2 linked regions of the Alligator mississippiensis genome follow. The protein of the gene in region 1 purifies or fractionates together with the protein of each later gene. This does not show direct contact. Links are inferred from orthologs where the notes say so. Each region holds a gene or a part of one and is shown in the gene's direction. Other genes may lie near its edges. The genes, in order: CYTH2 and INAVA.

Evidence for each region.
Region 2: the proteins of CYTH2 (region 1) and INAVA purify together in Homo sapiens (co-immunoprecipitation; 3 studies listed by BioGRID and IntAct, counting the BioPlex papers as one, with this or other methods). This does not show direct contact. The link is inferred for Alligator mississippiensis from reciprocal best matches to the Homo sapiens genes CYTH2 and INAVA.

Annotation. Positions count from the first base shown.
Region 1 is NC_081828.1:38,810,173-38,820,452, reverse strand, and holds the start of CYTH2 (cytohesin-2), read left to right. Parts: upstream 1-5,116; 5' UTR 5,117-5,244; coding exon 5,245-5,263; intron 5,264-10,280. Other genes in the region: KCNJ14 (ATP-sensitive inward rectifier potassium channel 14), read left to right, coding at 127-729. UniProt on the Homo sapiens protein: Acts as a guanine-nucleotide exchange factor (GEF). Promotes guanine-nucleotide exchange on ARF1, ARF3 and ARF6. Activates ARF factors through replacement of GDP with GTP.
Region 2 is NC_081837.1:33,170,674-33,181,069, reverse strand, and holds the start of INAVA (innate immunity activator protein), read left to right. Parts: upstream 1-5,864; 5' UTR 5,865-6,043; intron 6,044-10,396. UniProt on the Homo sapiens protein: Expressed in peripheral macrophages and intestinal myeloid-derived cells, is required for optimal PRR (pattern recognition receptor)-induced signaling, cytokine secretion, and bacterial clearance.

The DNA of each region.
Region 1 (10,280 bases):
GGCCAGTCTGAATTTATTGCGCGATTCACCAGCGAATTGCATAGTATATGAAATGTGTGGCAGGGGTGGGACTTGACTCTGGTTGCCTCATCCCACTGACTCATGCTCCCCCTGCCCTTCCTGCAGCCCCGCGTGACCCCGGAGGGTGAATACATTCCCCTGGACCACCAGGATGTGGACGTGGGTTTCGACAATGGCACCGACCGCATCTTCCTGGTGTCACCAGTCACCATCGTCCATGAGATTGACAGCGACAGCCCCTTCTATGAGTACGGCCCATCCGAGCTGGCAGCCGCCAACTTCGAGCTAGTGGTCATCTTGGAGGGCATGGTAGAAGCCACAGCCATGACCACGCAGTGCCGCAGCTCCTACTTGCCAGGGGAGCTGCGCTGGGGCCACCGTTTCGAGCCCGTCCTCTTCGAACGTCGTGGCCGCTACGAGGTGGACTACCGGCACTTTCACCGCACCTACGAGGTGCCTGGCACACCCCAGTGCAGTGCCAAGGAGCTGGGGCAGCGCAAGTTCCATGTGCCACCCACGGCCACCCGCGCCTCCTTCTGCTACGAGAACGAAGTGGCACTGAGTGCCTGCCGTGAGGAGGAGGGGGAGGAGGAGGAGGAGCAGCAGCCAGGGGGTGGTGGCAGTGGAAGGGGCCTGGCTAGTGACAAGGGCAAGGAGGGGAGAGCAAGCAATGGCCTGGAGGCCACGGAGATGCCCGGTGGGACATGATGGGTCAGTGGCATCAGACTGTGGGGCTGTGGAGGAGGAGGAGGAGGAGAAGGGGGAGGAGGAACGCAGCAGTGGCTGAGGAGAGCAGGGCAAAGGGGTCCCTAGGGTTCCCACACCTGAACTCTGGGCAAGGGGAACCCCCCAGCCTGTCTCCCCTGGGAAGTCAAGAGGGGAGCACCAGGGGGAGCCCAAGCCTGTCTCTCCTCTCCTTCACCCCCGAAGAAGACGGGGGGAACCTAATGCTAATGGGACAGCCCCGCCCCGCCCCATCTCTCACCTGCCCATGGGCAATATCCAGCCCCTGCCCCAGAGCCCAGCCTGTACAGACCCAGTCCCCTCTACACCCACTCCTGGGATTGTCAGGGGTTGGGGCCCCCTGTATGTAACTGGGGCTCATTGCTGCTACCTCCTTTGAGGACACTGCTGAGCTGTCCCGCTCCCCCAGCAGCCCCATCCCCGTCTTGCTCTGGCTTTTAATGGGGGAAAAGATGCTGTTAACTGGGGGTGGCACCCCCTGAAAGCTCCCCCCCTTCCCTCCCCCCCCTCCCATTCTGCTAGCCACAATGCCACTTTAGTAGCCATGTTGGATCCAGCTGCTCCCCTGCCACTTAGGATGACTGAGGATCCCCAGGGAACTGGCAAGGCTTAGGGGTCTGTTCCTGGGGGATGTGGTTGTTGGGGGCCTTGGGGTCCAGAGAGGGCCCAAGCCATTAAAGAAAAGCCACATAGCACCACTGCCCCCTGCTGGCTGGGCCTGCAGCCACCCAGCTGTGTGTCAATAGCCCCATAGTGCAGTAGCACAGAGAGGCAGGGGCCTGGGGGAGTCAGGGCAGATCTCCCCCTCCGCCCCCCACATCCCCAGATCACCCAAGTGATGCAGATAAATACAGAAATAAAGAGAGAATTTGGAGAATTCTGGTCTGTATTATTCTTGCCAAATGAGGTGTATGGGCCTCATTCCCTCCATGCCAACCCCTCACCCACTCCATTGGCTGGATGCCTTCCCACACTGGGAAACCCCAACTCCAGGGGGCCCTGGCTCACACCCAGCCCTGGCATCACCTGTCCCAATCATTGGCAGGGCATGTTTGGGTGATTTCTGGTCTGGGCCTGAGATCCCAAAACACACAGGAGGGGCCGATTCTGAAGCATGTTTACATCAAGGGATTTGCTAGATGGAGACCTGGACAGATAGCTAGAGGCATGTGTGGGGAGGGAGGGATGAATGAATGCATGGACACTCTGTGTGGCCTGGTACTGGAGAGGGCTGTGAGGGGGTGGCTGAAGTGGGTAGAAGGCTGTGGGAATGGTTGACTATCTGCATGGGACAGACCATGAGCTGTGTAGGGCTTGGAGGCTGTGTGGGCCCAATGAGTTGTGGGGTGCCTGGGGCACCTTTGTGGGGCTGGCGGGCTGGAGCAAGGTGTGGGACAGGGTGTTAGGGTGGCTAGTGGGGATGTGGGGTCAGCAGGCTACAAGGTATTTGCACGGGTTGTCGGGAGCTGTGGGGATGACGGGTGGTGACGTGTCTGTGTGGAGGTGCTGAACTGTGGGCAGCTGTGGGGCTGCAGGATAGGGCAGAGGTGCCTGAGGCATGTGGGGCTGCAGGGTGATGATGTTGGGGGCTGTGGCACATCTGTGGGCTGGCTTTGGGGTGCTGGGGCCAAGCTGGCCTGTGGGCGCTCACTGAAAGACCACGCTGGCTGGGCCAGGCCAAGCTGCTGGGGTGTGTGTGAAGGTCAGAGCAGGGAGGGACAGCTTGGAGCCCAGCTGGGAGCTCACATTAATCTGACACAGTTTCAGTCGCTAATCCCAGCTGCTTAGCGGCTGCCCCAGCAGGGGAAATGGGGCCTATTAACTTGCTCCCCCCATGCCCCCAGGCCCAGCCCAGCCCCTGCCCCATGGTCCCCACCCTACTGGCCCCTGCATTGTCCCAGCCCATGGGGCACAGCGGGTCAGAGAGGGCTGCGCTCTGCTCTCAGCACCAACTCCAGACCCTGACACTCTCAAGGTGAGGCCATGTCACAGGTGTCTCAGCTGACACCCTGGCCGGCTGATAAACCCAGAGAGGAACATGCTCTTACGCCCAAAATAACCCCTCAAGAGCCCTATTCTTAGCCTATCGGGTTGGCAGGGAGGGGGTGAGAGTGGTGCTCTCTGACAGGAACTATCCAGCGCTAAGAGGTGGCTTCCAGGGGGAGATCAGGATTCAGCCCTGACCCTGCTGCCATCAGGGTGTGACTTCAAATTGATTTCAAACTGGCCCAGCAGAGCTGACATCAGGATCTGGCCTTGATCTCACTGCAGTTAGGGGGTGACTCCAGCTTGGTCCTTGGGGGTGGCTGAGATCAGAATCAGGCCCTCCACATCCCTCCCCCTCTGGGGATGGATCCGGACAGCTCAGCCTGGGTCAACACTGTCAGGAGATGGGTAATTCAGCTTAGCAGATGTCTGGAGCAAGGGAGCCTTTGGGCTTCCTGCTCCTGGGAAGCTGCTCCCAGATAGTGCCTGATGCAGGAGGAGCAAGGTTTAAGTAAGATCTAGTAAGGTGGGGAGAATCCACACCGGAGTCAGCAACCTTGGGAGAGACCCCCATGCTGGCAGGCAGCCAGCTGTGAGCTGCAGGGTGTGCATCCACTGCTGTGCACCCAGCCCTGGCTTCCAGCTCGTACTCCCCACCTGCTAATCCCTCCTCTGGGTTTCCCCACTGGGCTCCTTCCAACTCATCACCAGTGACAAGAGGCTCGGCACGACAACCAGAAAGGCAGGAAGTGCAGACGAGGATCCACTGCAAACAGTGCCCTTGCCTCCCGACCCCCAGCCCCTACCACCCCTTGACCTCCCCCTGGTACTGCCAGTGCCCCTCCCTCCTGCCCCACAGCACTCCCAGGACCCTGGTTCCTCCCCCCACACCAGGTACACACCGCATCAGCCTAGCCCCGGAGGGTGGCCACTGGGATCTACAAAGCCTAGGGGATGCAGTTCACCCCCATGTCCCCATCAAGAAAGTTAGGCAGGGCCCTGGCCAGAACCCTGCCAATTTCGGTCCCCCTCTGCGCGATCACCCCCCTGCAGCTAGTTTCAAGCGCCCCCTGGTGACTGCCACTGGGAAAGACAGCAGTGCTCCAAAAATGACCTGATCCCCAGCATCTCTTAGTTGGGGGTGTGGAGGGAGTGTAGGGGAGGTTGAGGAGAGGGTGGGAGTGCATTGGTGGGTTAATGGGGCTGTGGGTGGGAGGGGGATGAAAAGGGCGTGGGGGTGGGGTGTGGGGATGGAGGCTGAGGGCCTGGGAAGGGGAAAGTTTTGCTGGGCTGTTCAATGGAGGGGGGATGGGGTAAACTGGGGAGAGAGGGCTGGGAGTATGAGGAGAGCTGGGGATACATACTTGGATGTGGGGAGGGATGGCAGGTACAGGGCCTGGGAAAGGGGAAGGGGTGATGGAGGGGGCTGGATGGGCAGGGGGTGGGGGCAGCTGGGTGCAGTGGAGGGGTTGGGGCTGGTGGGATGGTGATGCATGCATCAGTGAGTGGGCAGCCGAGGGTGGCTGTGGGGGTATCGGGGAAGGCAGGAGGGGTGTACGCAGGGGGTATATGGGGCATACTTGAGCTGTACATGGGAGTGTACATAGGGGGGTGTGCTGGCTGTATACAGGGATGCACATAGGGTATATGTGGGGTATGCATGGGATGTGTGTAGGGGTGTATATGGCAATATATGGGCGTACATGGGGTGTGTGTCAGGGTGTACATGGGGTGGGCCAGAGGAGTGACAACCCCTCCCCCCTTGCCCTCCCAGCTCACTTTAGCCCAGGGTTATATATTTATTTATAGTTGTATTTTATTTATGAGTCTGATTTATTACTGCTAAGAGGCCAGGGATTGACCCTAGCAACGGCCCAGACCCCTCTAGTGCCTTAGCAACGGCTCAAGCCCCGCCTGCTCCCTATCGAGTCCGTCCATTGGGCGCAGTTAGGGCAGAGGCCAGCGAAGCTCATCTCTTATTGGTTCCTTTGTGTATCATTCATAGTGACTGGCGGCCCAGGAGCAGCCCCTGGCTATTTAGCGTTCCTGTTGGCTCTTTGGACAGTTAATCCAAGCAGAGGCGGGCTTGTTGGCAATCTCGAGCACTAAATGACCGGACTTCCTGTCAACAAGTTTCAGAGCCTACTAGTGTACAATTTTCCTATACTTCATTGGTTCATTTTTCTGTCAATCTCCGCGGTGGAGCAGGTTTTGTACGAACCCTTGTCCCCCATTGGCTGCTCTAGCTATCAATCTTAAATACTGCCCGTTCATTTGCCATCCGTCCCCAGCTATTGGTTGCTGCCGGTGGGAAGGGGTGGGGATTGCAAGAATCGCGCTTTCCCATTGGCTATTGCTCGGGGAGGAGGCGGGCTATTCCCCGCAGTGCTGGGCCGGGCGGACACGAGAGGAGGAAGCAGGCGTTGCAACGGGAGAGCCGAGGAGACTAGACGCAGCGACAAAGAAGCTCCCGCCGGGGCTGGGGCGTTTACCATGGAGGACGGCGTCTATGGTAGGGGCCTGGGCCTGCCCGCCCGCGTGGGGTGAGCCGTACCATTGTATGGGGGTGTGGGCGGAACCATCCGTGAGGAGGGGCCGGGCCGGGCCAGGCCATTTCCTGCTTTGAGGTGGGGCCGGTGGTGCTTGGGCCGGACCGTTCGCCTCAGTCTTGGAAGGGGGTGGGCGAGACCATTCCTGTTGTGCTCGGGGGGGGGGGGGCTGAACCATTTCGTTCTTTAAGGGGGAGGGCGGGGGGGGTCTCTGGGAGGGTGGGACTGAGTAATTTTCTTACCTGTGGAGGGGTCGGGGGTATGAACCATTCCCTTCTCTGTTATAGGGGGCTGTGAGCTGAACCATTCCCTATGTTGGAGAGGGGAGAGAAGAGGGTGGTCTGTGCCATTCCTAGTGTGGGGCAGCGCAAACCGTTTTCTCCCATATGAAGGGGAGTGGAACTGCACCCCGCCCTTTTCTAAGAGTGTTTCTTGGCATGTATGGGGGGTTGGGCTAAACCATTCAATTCCCTGCTGAGGGAGGGAAAACCTGCAGGTTGAACCATTTCCTTCCTAATTGCATAGGGTCATGGATTGAACCATTTTTTCCCCTGTGTTGGGTGGTTGGGGATGAACCATTTTCTCTGCCCCCAACCAAACCTCTCCATTGACTTCCCCCTCCCCCCATGATGGGGGTGCTGGGTCCTTGCCCTTCTGAAGGTCCTGCCCCATCACTTAGCCCCACCCTTGATGTTTAGTCCCATCACAGCCCCTGCCTGTTGGCCCAGGAGGCCAATCAGGTACTTGGCTTGGGAACTCCTTGGGGCAGGGACCCTCCCCTGGCTGGTGCTGCTGTAGCACTGGGATTGGGGCCCAGCCCCGCCCTGGCAAGCACCTGCCCTGGGGTGCCCCTCCTCCTGCCCCATCAGGAGCACAAGCAACATGGCCACTGCCTCCTGCCCATGCTCACTTCCCAGCTCCCCTCCCTTCAGCAAGGATGGTGTGGCTCCTGCCATCTGCCTGGTGCATGCTCTTGTGTTGCCATAGTGATGCCCCTGTTTTTGGGAGGAGGGCAGGGGGGCACTTACGAATGAGTTCGCAGATAAACCACGCATCTCCTCCTCCCTACCGTGTTCCCACGGGAGCCTGCTTGTCCTAAGACCTTGATGAAATCCAGCAGGGACGTGGGCCTGGCTGGGCCCACCTGCATCCACCAGTCCAGCTTCCTGTGGTGACAGACGGCCACGGCACCTAGTCCCACAAGCTCTAGCCTCGGACCAATTTAGTCCCAGGCTGTCACTGGGAGGTCATTCCAACATCTCACTGCACCCCTGCATAGGGACCTACCTCTCCTCTTCCTTGAGCCAAACCAGCCTTGATCACTTTGCTCTTGTGCTTTGGTATCTCTTCTGCATTGAGTCATTTTACTTTAAATGCTCTCCAGAGGTGCCTTTGCTGACAGCGGTTTGGTTTGCAAGGAACGGGCTTGCTGCTGTTTGGTAGAGGAGGGTGCTGAAGGGGCCACTGTCCAAGCTGTTCTCAATGATTACACCCATATTATTGAGTTCCTTTAGTTCGTGTAGTCTAGACCAGGGCTGTCCAGCTGGTGGCCCACAAGCACAACCAGCCCTCCTCTTGCTTCTGCTTCCTGCTCCATGTGGGTGTCATGGTACCAGGGGTGTGGATGTCACTGCCCAGGCTGCCCACATGGTGGGCAGGGACCCTCACACTGCAAAGGGGTGGACCCCAGAGGACCCATGTGATGTGTGGCCCCTGGCTGCTCAGGAGTTGCACAGCCGTGTTCTAGATTATGGATTGCCCCAACATAAGTAATAGGGCCAAGAGCCGGTATCCTGAATCACAGAGATGCTGGGAAGCAGGCAGGGGTTGAACTGTGTAAATAATTGATATAATTTTTTGGTTCACTGGTCAATTGATTCATGAAATGGAAGCAATTCATTTAGGACTTGTGGTGTGTGGGGTTTTGAATGCAGTTTAAATGAACTTTGGAGCCAGCCCCCATTTGAAAAAATAATTAGAACTTACTGAATGGGTCAAACCAGACCTCTGGACTCTTTCCTTTTTCTTGTTATTTTTCTACTACAAGTGAGACAAATGTTGCACCACTGACTTCCCTGCAAACCCAGGACTGGTATAGCTTCACCCAAATATGCCTTTTTCAGGGAGTGAAATATTCAAGGTAAAGCATTTCCCCAGCAGAGGACAGGGTGCTGGCGGAAGCCAAATGGATGGGAGCTGCCTGGTCATCAGGACACAGCCTTTGCAGTGGTAATAGCTGCATCAGTAGGAAGCAGCCAGGTCAAGCCAGGATTTTATCCATGTGATTAAGGCGCACCAATGTCTATAGCCAGTGGCACCCAAGGTTGTAATATGGCTGGTATCACATCTGGGCATTTTGACTCTCCAGCCTGAGTGACCAGGTCTCCATTTGCACTTGGAACAAAGCAGTGGCCTTTAGCAAAAATCCAAAGAAGGGCTCGGCCCATGCTCCTGGAGTCATAGCAAGATCCTCAACCACTGCCACCATTCACCAAGCACCGGCTCCTGGTTAATGATTGCTTCCTTGGGGTAATAATTTACAACAATGCAGGGAATGGGACTCAGTGACCCAAGAGTACCCTGCAATCCTATGTTCCTATGTGGAAAACGCCTAGAAGACTTAGATGAGATGACTCTTGTTGGTCCAGCTATCTAGTTGTGAGAGATGTTAGACAAGCTTTTGGGCACATTGTGCCCTTCTTCAGGACCAAACTCAACCAAGAGGGCACTTTGTGCACAAAAGTGTGTCAGTTGTGTCCCAATGGTACAGTTGTTTGATCAAGGGTACAACAGTACTCCAGCCCTAGTGAGGATGCTGCACTAGTGACCCCTCTCAGAAACCACGCAGAAGAAATGAATAACTTGCCAAAGGAAAACAGGTGAAGCGGGGTTTGAGACCATCTTGATGAAGACAAATATCTTTGAAGCCTATTAAGAAGACATTGGAAAGCAGAACCATTGTGGAGGCCTGCCTATTGGGATGTCACTCTCCCAGCCAACAGGGGTCTCACAAAGGAAGTAAGATTCAAGATAGCTGCGGTAGCCCTTCACCAGAAAGACATATAGAGACCAAAGCTAGGCAGCACCAGAACTACATTCAGGACTCCAGCTAGGGCATAAGCATGGTGACAGCATATGGCTGTGAGAACTGGAGAGCTACCAAAACATTAGACAGGAAGAAAGATGACTTTGAAAACAAGCACCCACAAAAAGTTCCAAGCTTCAGAGGAAAAGATTTCATCTCTGATAAAGATAGCCAAGAAATTGCCTGCTGGCAGCCCACCAGGATGAGAAGGAGGCACAGGGATGTATGTGGAACCTGGACTCCAGGGACCTCTACATAGACTTCCACGGGAAAGCACCAGATGGGAACAAAACTGCAAGGAGGAGCTGTGGACCAGCACAGAAACCCTTAGGAAGACCCCTTAGCAGGGCAGCTGAGCCCAACACTGCATTGCAGGAGGAAACAGCAGCAAGGAGAGGGAAAGGCTGGTTTCCTGGTGCACCAGCTCTGCTTCAGAAAGGAGGAAATGGAAGGCAAAATCATTAGTATAGCACCTGGTACCATGAGAACATGGGCGACTGGTGCCACCTGAGTCAAGGAGGCCACATCCCCCCTCCCACCCCCCACCCCACTCAGCAACCGGGAGGTGGGGTCCCCCACAACCAATCTCGCCAACCAGTGGGGGGGAGGGTGCTCCCCCCACGACCAATCGCACTGACCGGGAAGTGGCTGCAGCGCTCCCAGAAATGCCAGTGGCACTTCACCTGGTGCCCCCACTCCCTGACCGGCACTCGCAGGGGGGGCACCGGTGCTCCCGCCTGCCCCCGTGCCTGTCACCTAAGCAAGGAGCTCGGCCAGTCGGGGTGCACGTGCACCACCTACACATCACCACTGCATGGGAACCTGATCCCAGACTGGATCTCCTGAGGGCTGCTATAGGACAGATAAATAACAACCACCAGCTTGCACCAGAACTCTGTCTACCCCACAGGGATTATAGTGACTCCCTTCCAGCAGGCTAGTGTTAGTGGGACTGCATCTGCTTGTAGACAAGGCTCAAGGTAGTGACATGATTCTTGGAGTTGTCAGCCAGGGAGCATTGAGTCAAGAGAGCAGATAGGACTCCCCCAATACTGGGGAGACCGTGGTGGAAATACTGCAGCTAGTTCTGGAGTGTATGCTGTGCAGAGAGCTTGGTAGGAGACCTCAGAGTAGAAGGTCAGCTGCTTGGCTGAGATGGGGCTTGAGCAGAGTAGGAGTAGACAAACTTCTGAGGTCCCTTCCAGCCTCATTGCCCTGTGGTTCTAAGATTCAAGGTCTGGAAGTCCTTCCTGAGAGGGGAACAGGCTGAAAGGCTTGATAGTGGCCTCTTATCAGAAGGGAATCTCTAAGAGCAGGAAATCCCTTGGCAGCCCTAAGGGACTATTGTGGTTGTCAGGTTGTAACCTCTGTGGCTGTGGCTGTGGCCCGGGCTGACTCCCTGGCAAACCGCTGATACATGATGGAGCTGCCCTTCCACACTAAGTAAAATCAGTTCCTCCTCCCTTCAGATCCACACTGCAGTGTTTGGCTGGTGGAGCTGATAGAGGAGCACTCTGGCCAGTTCAGAGTCTGGACAGATGAATGAACAAGAAAGCCAGCTCAGAAAAAGACCTGGGTTCAAGTGGACACAGGCACCAGCACACCAGCCAGAGCTAGCCTACTTTCCCACACCGCCCACCCCATGCTCCTACACTGGATTTGCTCTCCAGACACATACAGGGTTGCTTTAGCTGGAGGGCACGGAGGTGGAGAGCTGTGGATATGGGCAGATCTAGGATTTTGAAAAGGAGAGTGCAGATGCTTTATATCATCATATATGAAACAACACACATTTTTCTCTAGTTAAAATAGAAACTAGAAGCTTTACTAATATACTAGGGCCCTGGGGCTATATTACTCAGTGTAAGATTGAAGCACAAACCAATATAACTTCA
Region 2 (10,396 bases), on another chromosome or scaffold:
CAAGTACCACTGAGGTGTGTAAAGCAAAACTAGATTCACAATTTGCTCCAAAATTTGTAATCTTTGTTTTACAACTTGAAGGGAGGGTAACTGAATGTAAAATAGATAAGAGAGTTTCTATACAGATTAATATGTATATGCATATGCCTTAGTGATCTGTATGAGATGAAAATTGAGGAATAATTATAAAGGAGGAGGAAGTAAGAAAGAGTGGGACACAGTAAAGAAAGCAAATGTAAGAGGAGAATAAAGCAGTCAAAGAGAATAACACAAGAGTAGAATTCTATTACTATTTGCATCCTTAAATAGCAGTACTCTTTGGTACCTATGCACAGGTTGTGATTCTATTACCCTTGCACTGTGGATGCCTGTTGAAGGGCAGATTGCCATCTAAGCAGAGCCACCTGGCCTCAGCTGCAAGCATCAAGCTCATTCACTGCAGTCAGCTGGACTTAGCATATAAGCCCAGGTCCTTAAGTAGGGTTCTGGGTACTTGACGCCTCATCTTGCAGCAGTTCAGCTTTGGTGTAGCACAGTCTTGCTCCAACCCTGGACTTCAGTACCTCATCTTCTGCCTCATCTGCTGTATTTCTCGATTCCCTGGGTTCTGACCTGGAACGTTGGACACAGATATTGTTTAGGATTAGAAATGGGACTCTGCCTGGTTTTTACCCCTTTGGTACAGATGCAACTGCATCTGGATTCCCTGCAGGTTCAGGTACTTGGCTGGCTAACTCCAGGTTTCATAAGACTTGTTTGGTGTGGCCCATCCTTACAATGTGTAAGAATGCATGTGTACACCGAATATGCAGAAGATGATGTACTGGCTGTGTGTGCACACTGAATATGCAGAAGATGATGTACCGGCTGTGCGTGTACATTGAAAATGCAGATGATGCACTGGCTGTGTGTGTACCTGACTAAGTCCTGGAAGGGGAAAAAAGACCTACTGGTCCTCCCATAACTTGGCAGCAAAGACTGAATGGCTAAGTTGCTTACCTAAAAAGGTGGAGCTGAATTCTATGCTTCAGGGGGTCTGGGTTATTCTTCTCCTAAAACACTGGGGGGGAAAAAACTATATACAAAAGACTGGCTTATCTAGCATGGAAACTCAGAATCTGTAGATGCAGGGATAGTGCCCTATGACTGAAAAATAGCAAATGTAGGCCCCACTTAAAGGTGGGGAAGGGTGGGGGGAGAACTCAGACTAAATGCTTGTGAAATTATAGTTAAAGATATGGCAGGGAGTAGAAAATGGGATAAAATGTAACATAGATTTAGAATAATGATGCTAGTTGGACATAATATTATATTATATTATTAGATAATAGGCTTCGTTAAGGATAATGCAGTGAACTAACTTAGCTGGATAAAGGGAATCAAGAAATACAGCGGATGAGGCAGAAGATGAGGTACTGAAGTCCAGGGTTGGAGCAAGACTGTGCTACACCAAAGCTGAACTGCTGCAAGATGAGGCATCAAGTACCCAGAACCCTACTTAAGGACCTGGGCTTATATGCTAAGTCCAGCTGACTGCAGTGAAAAAGCTTTTGATATTGTGCCTCATGGAAAATCACTTTCCAAACTGGAAGGGCTGAGAATCAGCGCTACAAATCCATGAGCTAGACTAAAGCAAGGTATATTAAAGGAGGAGTTGTCTGACTAGAGGGCAGTTACTAGTGATGTTCCTCTAGGGATTAGCCTTGGGAGCCTGCTCAGTAGGCCCTATTGCCCTTGGTGTGCCTAAAGGGTGAGCGTCTAACAACATAACTGCTATTTTCAGCACTTGTGCATAGGTAGTAATTCTATCAGCCCTGCGCTATGGATGCATGCGTGTGCAGTAGGCTAGGCACTGTACCTGAGAATAAGTCCAGGTGAGGAAAAAAGATGGGGATCATCACCTGTTTTGACTTCAAGAACTGAGTGGTTAGGACACTTCCCCAGGAAGCAGAATGCTCAGGATCTATGCTGCTCCTTGCCCTGAGGGCTTGAGATGCATTTCTCTGACTCCCCTGCCTGCCCCCACACCCTAACCCCTCTCCCCCTTCCCATCACAGTGCTCTTAGCACCATGTCTTTCTTTCTACTTGCTGCCCAGACAAGCCCAAGCTGCCCTTATAGTCTGGATGGGACTGGCTGCAGGCTGCCCGAGTGCCCTCATCTGTTGCATGATCCTTGGCTACCTGTTTTCTCGGCTTGACTCCCGCCTGAGTCCTTGCCCAGCCTGAATCCCCTGCCTCATTCCTGCCTGAATCCTAGCCCATGTCCTCTGCTTTGATTCTCGGTTTCTGGAGTCCTAGTTTGTGACGCTCGTAGCATCTTGCTCCAATCCCATGCATCCAGGTTGTGTCTGTGACATGCCAGACCACATACACATCATACAGAGCCCCAGGCCTCTGTGGGGCAGCCTACAGAGGAGGATGTGGAGCCCCTGCACAGCTCCCCAACCATTCCAGTTGATGGCTATTATGTGCAAGGGGTGGTGGCTCATCCTCAAAAGGTGTGCTGGAGAGAAGAGTGGAAAAGACCTAATCTATGGTGTGGTGGTTAAAGCACTATGTGGAGAAATTGGTGATATAGGCTTAAAACCCTTCTTTGGTGACTGAATTTTAACTTGCATCACTGTGACTTGACTTGTTAGGTGATGGGGACCAGAAACCCAGGTCTTTGGCGTCCTAGGTAAGTGCTTTAGCTGTTCAGCTCTTGGGGCTAAAACTTGGAATGGGTTTTCTCCTTTCCCAAACTTCATTGCATGATAACATACCTAGTGTGTGTACATGGCCTACTCAGTCTACACATTGATGCATGCATGTCTGTTATACGCAGTAACAGGCCAAAAAAATGCAGCTAGGAAATGGCCATGTAGGTGCACAGTGACAAACAGAATTCCATCCATCCCATTTAAATGTTTGTAAGTGACCTTAGCACTGGGGCTTGAAGCATCCTCATCAAATTTGCAGAACTGGATCAGCTTGTGGAACAAGATGGCGAGTTCGGGCACACAAATCGGGGTGTGTGATGTGGAAGTATGTAACTGAGGTCCCCAGGTTGAGCTCTGCAGTGAGAAAAACATGGTAACTCCAGAGCTTTGACTGGCTTTTACTAGATGCTAGTTGGGGACATGCATGACAATTAAAACAGAAGTGAACAGATAGAAAAGACATGCATTAAACTGTGTTGTGTTTAAATCTACCTGGAGCAGTTCAAAAGGGTGCCTGGAAAATCAAGTACTATTTTGAACTGGTGCACTGTGAACTGATTCAGTGGTTGTGTGTGGACTCACCTTTCTATGACACTAACCTGGCCAGTCTTCCAGGAATCCCAAACTGCATCACTTCTCGCCTCTCCCACACACTACTGCAACCGACTGCTCTGGTATCGCTTCTCAGCCTTTTGGCTAAGATCAAGTGTAGTCCCATCAACTGCACCATCCTGGGCTGAGAGCCAGCTGTTGCCCAGACATCCTTGCAGCTGAGGAGGAGAACAAATGCATCGTGATGGCTGATGTTGCTATCCCATTGGAGAACCAGCAGCAAGCCTTTGTCGAAGCCTGCAAGTGGAATTTGACAGTACAAGCTGCTGGCAGGTGCTGTGAGTACGGGGCTGCAAAGTGATGGTGCAGGCACTGATTGTTGGGGTGCTTGGAGCATGGGACCCCCGGCAACAAAAGCATCTTGTGTGCCAAGCTGATGAGACAGCTCATGGTGTCTGACACCATCAGATGTTCCAGGGACATCAACATGGAGTGCATTGCGAGTGAGTGCCAGTATGTGGACACCAGCAAACTACTGGCTGGAAGCAACTTGGAGGAAGCAGTCTGATTTTTTTTTCCCCCCCTTCCTCCCCCCACCAACAGATCATGAGCTAAAACTGCTTCCCACCTGGACTGTCCATCACCTCTGCAATTATACTCCACGTGCTGTTGTTTGTACCTGCATATGTATCCCTCAGAGCCCACAACTCTACAATAATGCAGCTTCCTTGCACAGGGCCTTTGTATCTTATTCCCTCGGTAAGCATCATGCTTTTACCTCCCTTATCCCTCACCCTAACTCATCCCCTACCTAAGTAGGCTACGTTCTCTCTGCATAACTTAGTTGCATCCTCCACGTACCCACCCACCCAGTACTATGCAACTACCCTTCCCTGGGTCTTCTGGATCTCTTTCCACCTCTTCAACTCTGTAACTTCCTACTAAGATATACTAATAAACTAAATAAAGTATGTAGCCAGAGTCCTACTGCCCCCTTTTGCTGGCAATTATTTTTTTTAATCAATGAGCTCCCTTGCATATTCTTTGCTCAATAAAAGTTGTTTTTCCAACAGCCAGCTCTGCCCTGATTCCCTACTTGACTTCAGCCCAACCTCATGCCTCCCACCTGCCCGGTCCCAGGCAGTACCTGCCCCCCCTCCCCACAACCAAAAAGCGAGAGTCCAAGCCCTCCCCTCCTGTCTCCAAGTCAGGTGAGCACATTGCAAATGACTGCAGCCTACAGGCTATTGAAGTTTATTGAGCTTTGACAAGTGACAAGGCTAGGGAATGAACTGAGAATGTAAACCCCAAATCTGGGCTTCGACTAAACTAAAGGACAGCAATTGGGTTAGGGAAGGCCAGTGGGTGGCTGCGCGGGGATGCTGAGGAGTGGATGCGTTTATTGTAACAGGTACGTGGTTTCTTAATGTGGTTTAAGGTGTGTGATGGAAAGTTTTATGCTAGATGGTGGGGGGGTATACTATAAAAGATTACTAAGCTTACATTCAGGAAGCAAATGAAAGCAGGAAAGGGATAAGGCCCTCAGCCACACCTGGGACTCCCAAAGCATTTGTCCACTGCAAGGCATGCTGGGCTGGGTGCTCACTCCCACCCTGGTGTGCAAGCCACAACAGTTCACACCATTGTGAATGAATTCCCCCCGGAAGGATTCGATTGCAATGTGTGTCCACATCCTCAGAATCACACTGATTCCCGGCACTGGGGTAGGAAGGGTTTTTGCTCCCAGACCGACTGGCCCAGGCACTGGGGGTTTGCTGTCCTCTGCGGTGTAGGGAGCAGAGTCCCTTTCATAGGAGAGTCTTCATAGACATTAGGGCTGGAAGGGACCTTGTAAGATTATCGGGTCCAGCCCCCTGCCCAAGAAGCAGGAAGTCAACTAGGGGAAAACATCTCAGCAAGATAAAAGTCCAAATGTTTCATAAAGGTGTCCAGAGTAGGTGTTTGCACCACCTCTCAAAGTGGTAATTTAGAAATACAGGGGACTAGATGCAGTGACAGAGGCAGCCCCTTCCACTCGTGTTTCTGTTAAGTTCGGGTTTTAACCCAGCTCCCTGTGTATTGAATTTTCTCAGTTACTAAGTAGCACACAGTTAAGCTGGCTTTCCAAATAACTCATTAATTTGCCATTGTGTGCGCTGACTAGCTGGCAGATTCCAGCTAATCCATCACTAATAGAACATTAATAGCCAGCTGCCTCGCACACTTTCCTTGTGGGCTGATCTGAAAAAAACTCTCTGATTCCTTTCTTTCCAGACTTTCACCCTGGGTCTCTCAGAAGAAAAGCAACCACAGGGGAGGCATTGTGCTGCTTGGAAGAAGTACTTCCAAGACTCAGTGAATTACCCTTTCCTAAGACTAGGGCTGGTGGGATCTGAGCAGGAAATGGGGACCAGGAGCAGGATCATTATTCTCTTCTCTGCTAAAAAAACAATACAGTGTTCAGAGTAACAACAAAAATCCAAGGCATGATACTCCACCCTGGCATGCCTCCTCCTTCTCAGGGCTACTTTAGTGAGGCTTGAACAAGTTTTAAAGCATACTAACCAGCATCTCCCCCTCTTTTCCTAAGGGATTGGTATGCCCCAGGGACAGATGTCTTTAGATCTTCAACCTTTGGGATGTAGCTAATGCCTAGTTAAATTAAATAAGGGGGGGAGCTTTGCAAAAGCAGCAGTCTGGGTGATGGAAGCAGTGTAAATGAAATTCCTTGGGAGTGATTAAAAAAAAAAAAAGGAAGGAAACAGCTACAGGACTAGTTGCTTTTTAGCAGGTAAGTGAAAACAAACTTGAACTCTGTGAAATCTGATCTGCCTAAAAGTATCCTAGCAATTTGAACAGGAGACATGTGTGCAGGGTGATCCCCTATAATTAAAGATGTTGCTGTTTGAACATGTTGCACTCAGCAGAAATTTGCAGTCGCCAAAAACAGTTGTTTGTTTGTTGGTTTTAGGTAGTAGTTTTCTCCTGATGGTTTCCCTCCTCAGATTTGTGGAAATGTTTGTTGCTTTGTAAAATATAATTTTGAAATTGTGTTCATCTAGCACCAGGGCTGAAAAAAGGAGGGAGAGGCAGATGAGACAAAGACAATGGGCCAGATTCTCAGCTGGTGGAAATGAATCAAAGTTCACTAGTTTGAATGGGGCTACTCCAATTTACACTTTATGAATTCAGGCCAGATGGCTGGAAATTTTATATTGGCTACTTGCAAGAAGACATCCAATCAGAAAGAGGATTTTTTAATTTTATTCCTGTAAGATCACTTACATAAGGTGAATAGTTTGTTCTGTGCTGGCGCACGGGACTCCTGGGAAATTATTAGTTCAAGCCAACGTGCTTGTCCTTTGCTCACATTGTAAGAGAGCAAGGATTGGAGGAGTTATGAATGGTGCCAGTCTAATTTCAGTCTTTCAGCTCTGGCTTTTTAATTCAGTGCAGGAATGAAGTGAAGCATTACTCAGCTGTCTCTGCCTGAGAATCGGAAAGGCTCTGAACCTGGTTATTTCTTCTCAATGGACTTGTATAACTTCTTTGTTACATGTTAACCCACAAAACAAGAATCACATGTTTTAAGAATCCCAGGGCCAGGACCCAAGCTGGTGTAAATCAATTTGTTGTGGCTGGTGTTAGTGGAGCTATGCAAATTTACTCCTGTGGAGGATCGTGACTGCAGTAGCATTTGAAAGCGCTGAACAGGATGGAGACCTTATTGTAATAGGCCCGGAACAAGAAAGCAACACAAAATTAGTCCCTCCCTGTTCTTACAAGCAAAGAATTACTAATCATAAGGATGGGCCAGGCCTGCAATATTTTGATTTGAGTTTCAAATTCCAGGAAGGTACATTCTGGTCATTCCCATTGAAGTCAATAGGGAGTAAACTCTATGGTTTTCAGTAGCAACTCTGAATCCACACCAATGTGACTGAGACCCAAATCTGAGTCAGTGAGTGGACAAAAAAAAGTCCAAGTGTGAATTTTGGAATCTGTGTTGGGACTCTGAAATTTTGGGAGTGAAGAGGACTGAAGCTATAGCCAGAGATCTAGGTATTAAAACTGAGATCAAGGCCTCACTGCACTAGGCACTAAACATCCACACAACAATAGACAGTCCCTAACACAAAGAGCTCAAGCTCCAAGAAGACAAGAGTGGGGGTGGAGAAAGGAAATATCACTAGCCGTGTACAACAGGTGGAAAATAGGGTCAAAGAGAAATTAAGGGCAAAATCCTATTTCACTTTACATATCCCAATGGTACTTACCCACATTTGTAAATGCCATTTTGGACATTTGCACACAATTTATAACTACTCCACATGCACGTGGCTATTAAGCATGCTCAGTAAGCTATATGCTGGCTAGGCAGGTAGGTGGATCTATGCAGTCGCTCATGAATGAGTGTAAGTTCCCAAACTTTTGCTGGGTAAAACAACCGGTGTTAGGTGCTGGAGGGAGGGGGGCCCCATGCTTTAGCCCACTGCTGGAGGCACTCACCTGGGTTCTAGACCTACTCATCCAAAGGAGGTTTCATCATCTCTGACTTCCCAGCACAGTGCTCTAATTACCACACCACAGGAAAGTCACTGTCTAGACCTTCTTTTGCAGCTGGACCCCAGAAACAAGAGCACGTGCTTGAGGATGTGTGGCTTAATGAGATGAGCCTAGCGTTAGCCTGAGCCACTGGTTCCAAACAGAGCAGTGCAAAGGCACCTCCTGAGCTGCAGGTTCCCTGAGCCCCTCGGGCTAGCACTGCTCTGTTCCTCCTCCTGGGGTGGAGGCAGGAAATGGAAGCTGGAGAAGGGAGGGGGAGCCCAGGGACCCTGGCAGCAGCAGTAGAAGAAATGAAGGGAGAAGCACCTGGACTGGGAGCCATGAGTTAGCCACTCATGGGCTGGATGTGATCCACAGGCTACCAGTCGGACAGATGTGACCTACAGGTTGGGTGGCTCTGTCTTAGAAAGTAATGGCACAGAGAAGGACTTAGGAATCATAGTAGATAATTGCCTGCATGTGAGTTCTCAGCCCATGCTGCAATTAAAATGGTTAATGCAATCACTGGATGCATAAACGGAGAATATCAAATAGACACAGAAAAGTGATCTTGCCTCTGGACACAGCAATGGCGAGGCAATGACTCATGCAGTGCGTCCAGTGCTGGTATCCACATTTGGAGAAGGATGTGGAATTACTGGAAAGATTTCAAAGGGAAAGGGCAAAAATGATTCAGAGGCTGGAATGCAAGCCCTGTGATATGAGCTTTAAGGCACTCACTTGATGCATCTTACCAGACAAAAGATTGAGAGATGACTTACTTGATCACTGTGTGTAGTGGAAGTTATCTGATACTGGGGGCTTTGCAAAGGGTAACCTGATCCAGTGACTGGAAGCTGAACTTGGGCAAACCCAACTTTGAAATAAGATGCACTTTCCTAGCAGTGAGGGTGTTTAAACATTGCAACTGCTTTCTAGGGGAAGTGGTGGACTCATCATTGCTTAGAGTCTTAAAATGAGATTAGGTGTCTTTCTAAAAGACAAGCTTTGATCCAAATTCTGGGAAAAAAATCTGTGACCTGTGTGTGTTTGGATGCCGGGGGATCAGGCTGGTCCCTTCTGGCCCCGGTGGATGTGAATCTCTGTTCCTGTGTTTGTCCTTTTCTTCCATAGGCTACAGAGAGAACAGAAGGGTTGTTAATGTGCTTTGTCTGAATTAAGACAATGACTCTAATAATCAATTCTCATGCTTGAGGGCTTCAGCTGGTTACCTGCAGTCATTTGGACTTTTTCCCCCTGTTGCACAGTTGGCAAGATGTATTCTGCTTGCTCGTTTTGTGTTTAGCATTCTTTGAAGCCTCAAGGATTAGCTGTGGCTGAAGACAGGGCATGGGGTGCTCTCCTGAATCCCATCCTCATATCTCAGCCACAGGACCAGCTTTCATTTCCACTGGAGCTTAATGGTTCTCATCTGATTCTACCAAGATGACCCGGTATGTTTCCCATTAAACCTTCATTTTCAGCCTTCTCTGAACACAGTTAAGAATTGACCTCACCTATACTCCTGACCCTTAATCCTGCACTGGTGTATCCAGAGAGTTACTCAAACATACACTTCAATCCTTACCACCTGCCAACATACCCACGAAGTGATTGCTACAGACAACTTAACCCTCACCCTAATAACATGCCTACAGTGTGCTCCCCCAACACCCTGGCTCTCACCACTATGCCCGTAAACCCACAATGTAGTAGTGTTCAGATGGGGAGATTACTCAGGGATAGTGGGTGCGTTTGGTGTGCATGGGAAATTTCTCAGGGTACGGCGTGTGCTAATGTTGAAACTTGGGATGCTTATGTGTGGTCTGAGGGTGTTTTTTGGGGGTTGACAGGCACAGACCTATAGGAAAGGGGGCATAGGCTTGGAAGGGACATTGGGGGAAGGTGGGAGGGCATTGGGTGGGGGAAGTAGGAAGAAATTTCTTGTATTTGGCTATAAATGGTGGTTGGGAGGCATGGTTTAGATTGGCTGGAAGGTTGTTTTGCTTGTAAAGGGGTTTGGGCAGGGAAGAGGTGGTTGGGGAGGGAGGAGGGGAGTTTGAGTTCTCAAGTTTCAGGATGCTCTTAAGGGAATCCTATCCAAAGGTTATTTGTGTGTTTATATTGTCAGCTGCTCTGGGCCTTTTGGATAGGACAGGATGCAGATCAAATAAATAAATACATGTGGATGCTGGCACTCAGTTCTTGGGTCCAGCAAGTGACTTCTTTCATATCTTCATCCTTCAGCTGGACAAGACTCTGCCATTGAAGTCCTTCTCTTGGGCAAGAGCCCTGCTTTGATCCATCCCCTGTTGCCCAGGGGCTGGGCACTCTGCTACACCTCTGACAGAGGAAGGGGAGCTGGCAGGGATGGTCTGGCTAAGGAGCAGAGATACTGGGGCAGCCGTAGATTTTCCACTGCAAATCCTTATCCAGTACAGAGTATAAATGGGGAGGGCTACATGGGAGTAAATTGGATCAGTATAAGCTTGAGAAAACTGCATTCACACTGAGGAAACTGGTACAGTTGAACTGTTCAGGGACTGTTAAGGTACTGGAGCATTTGTTTGCTGACAAAGGGTGGGTTGGGTGTGGCAGC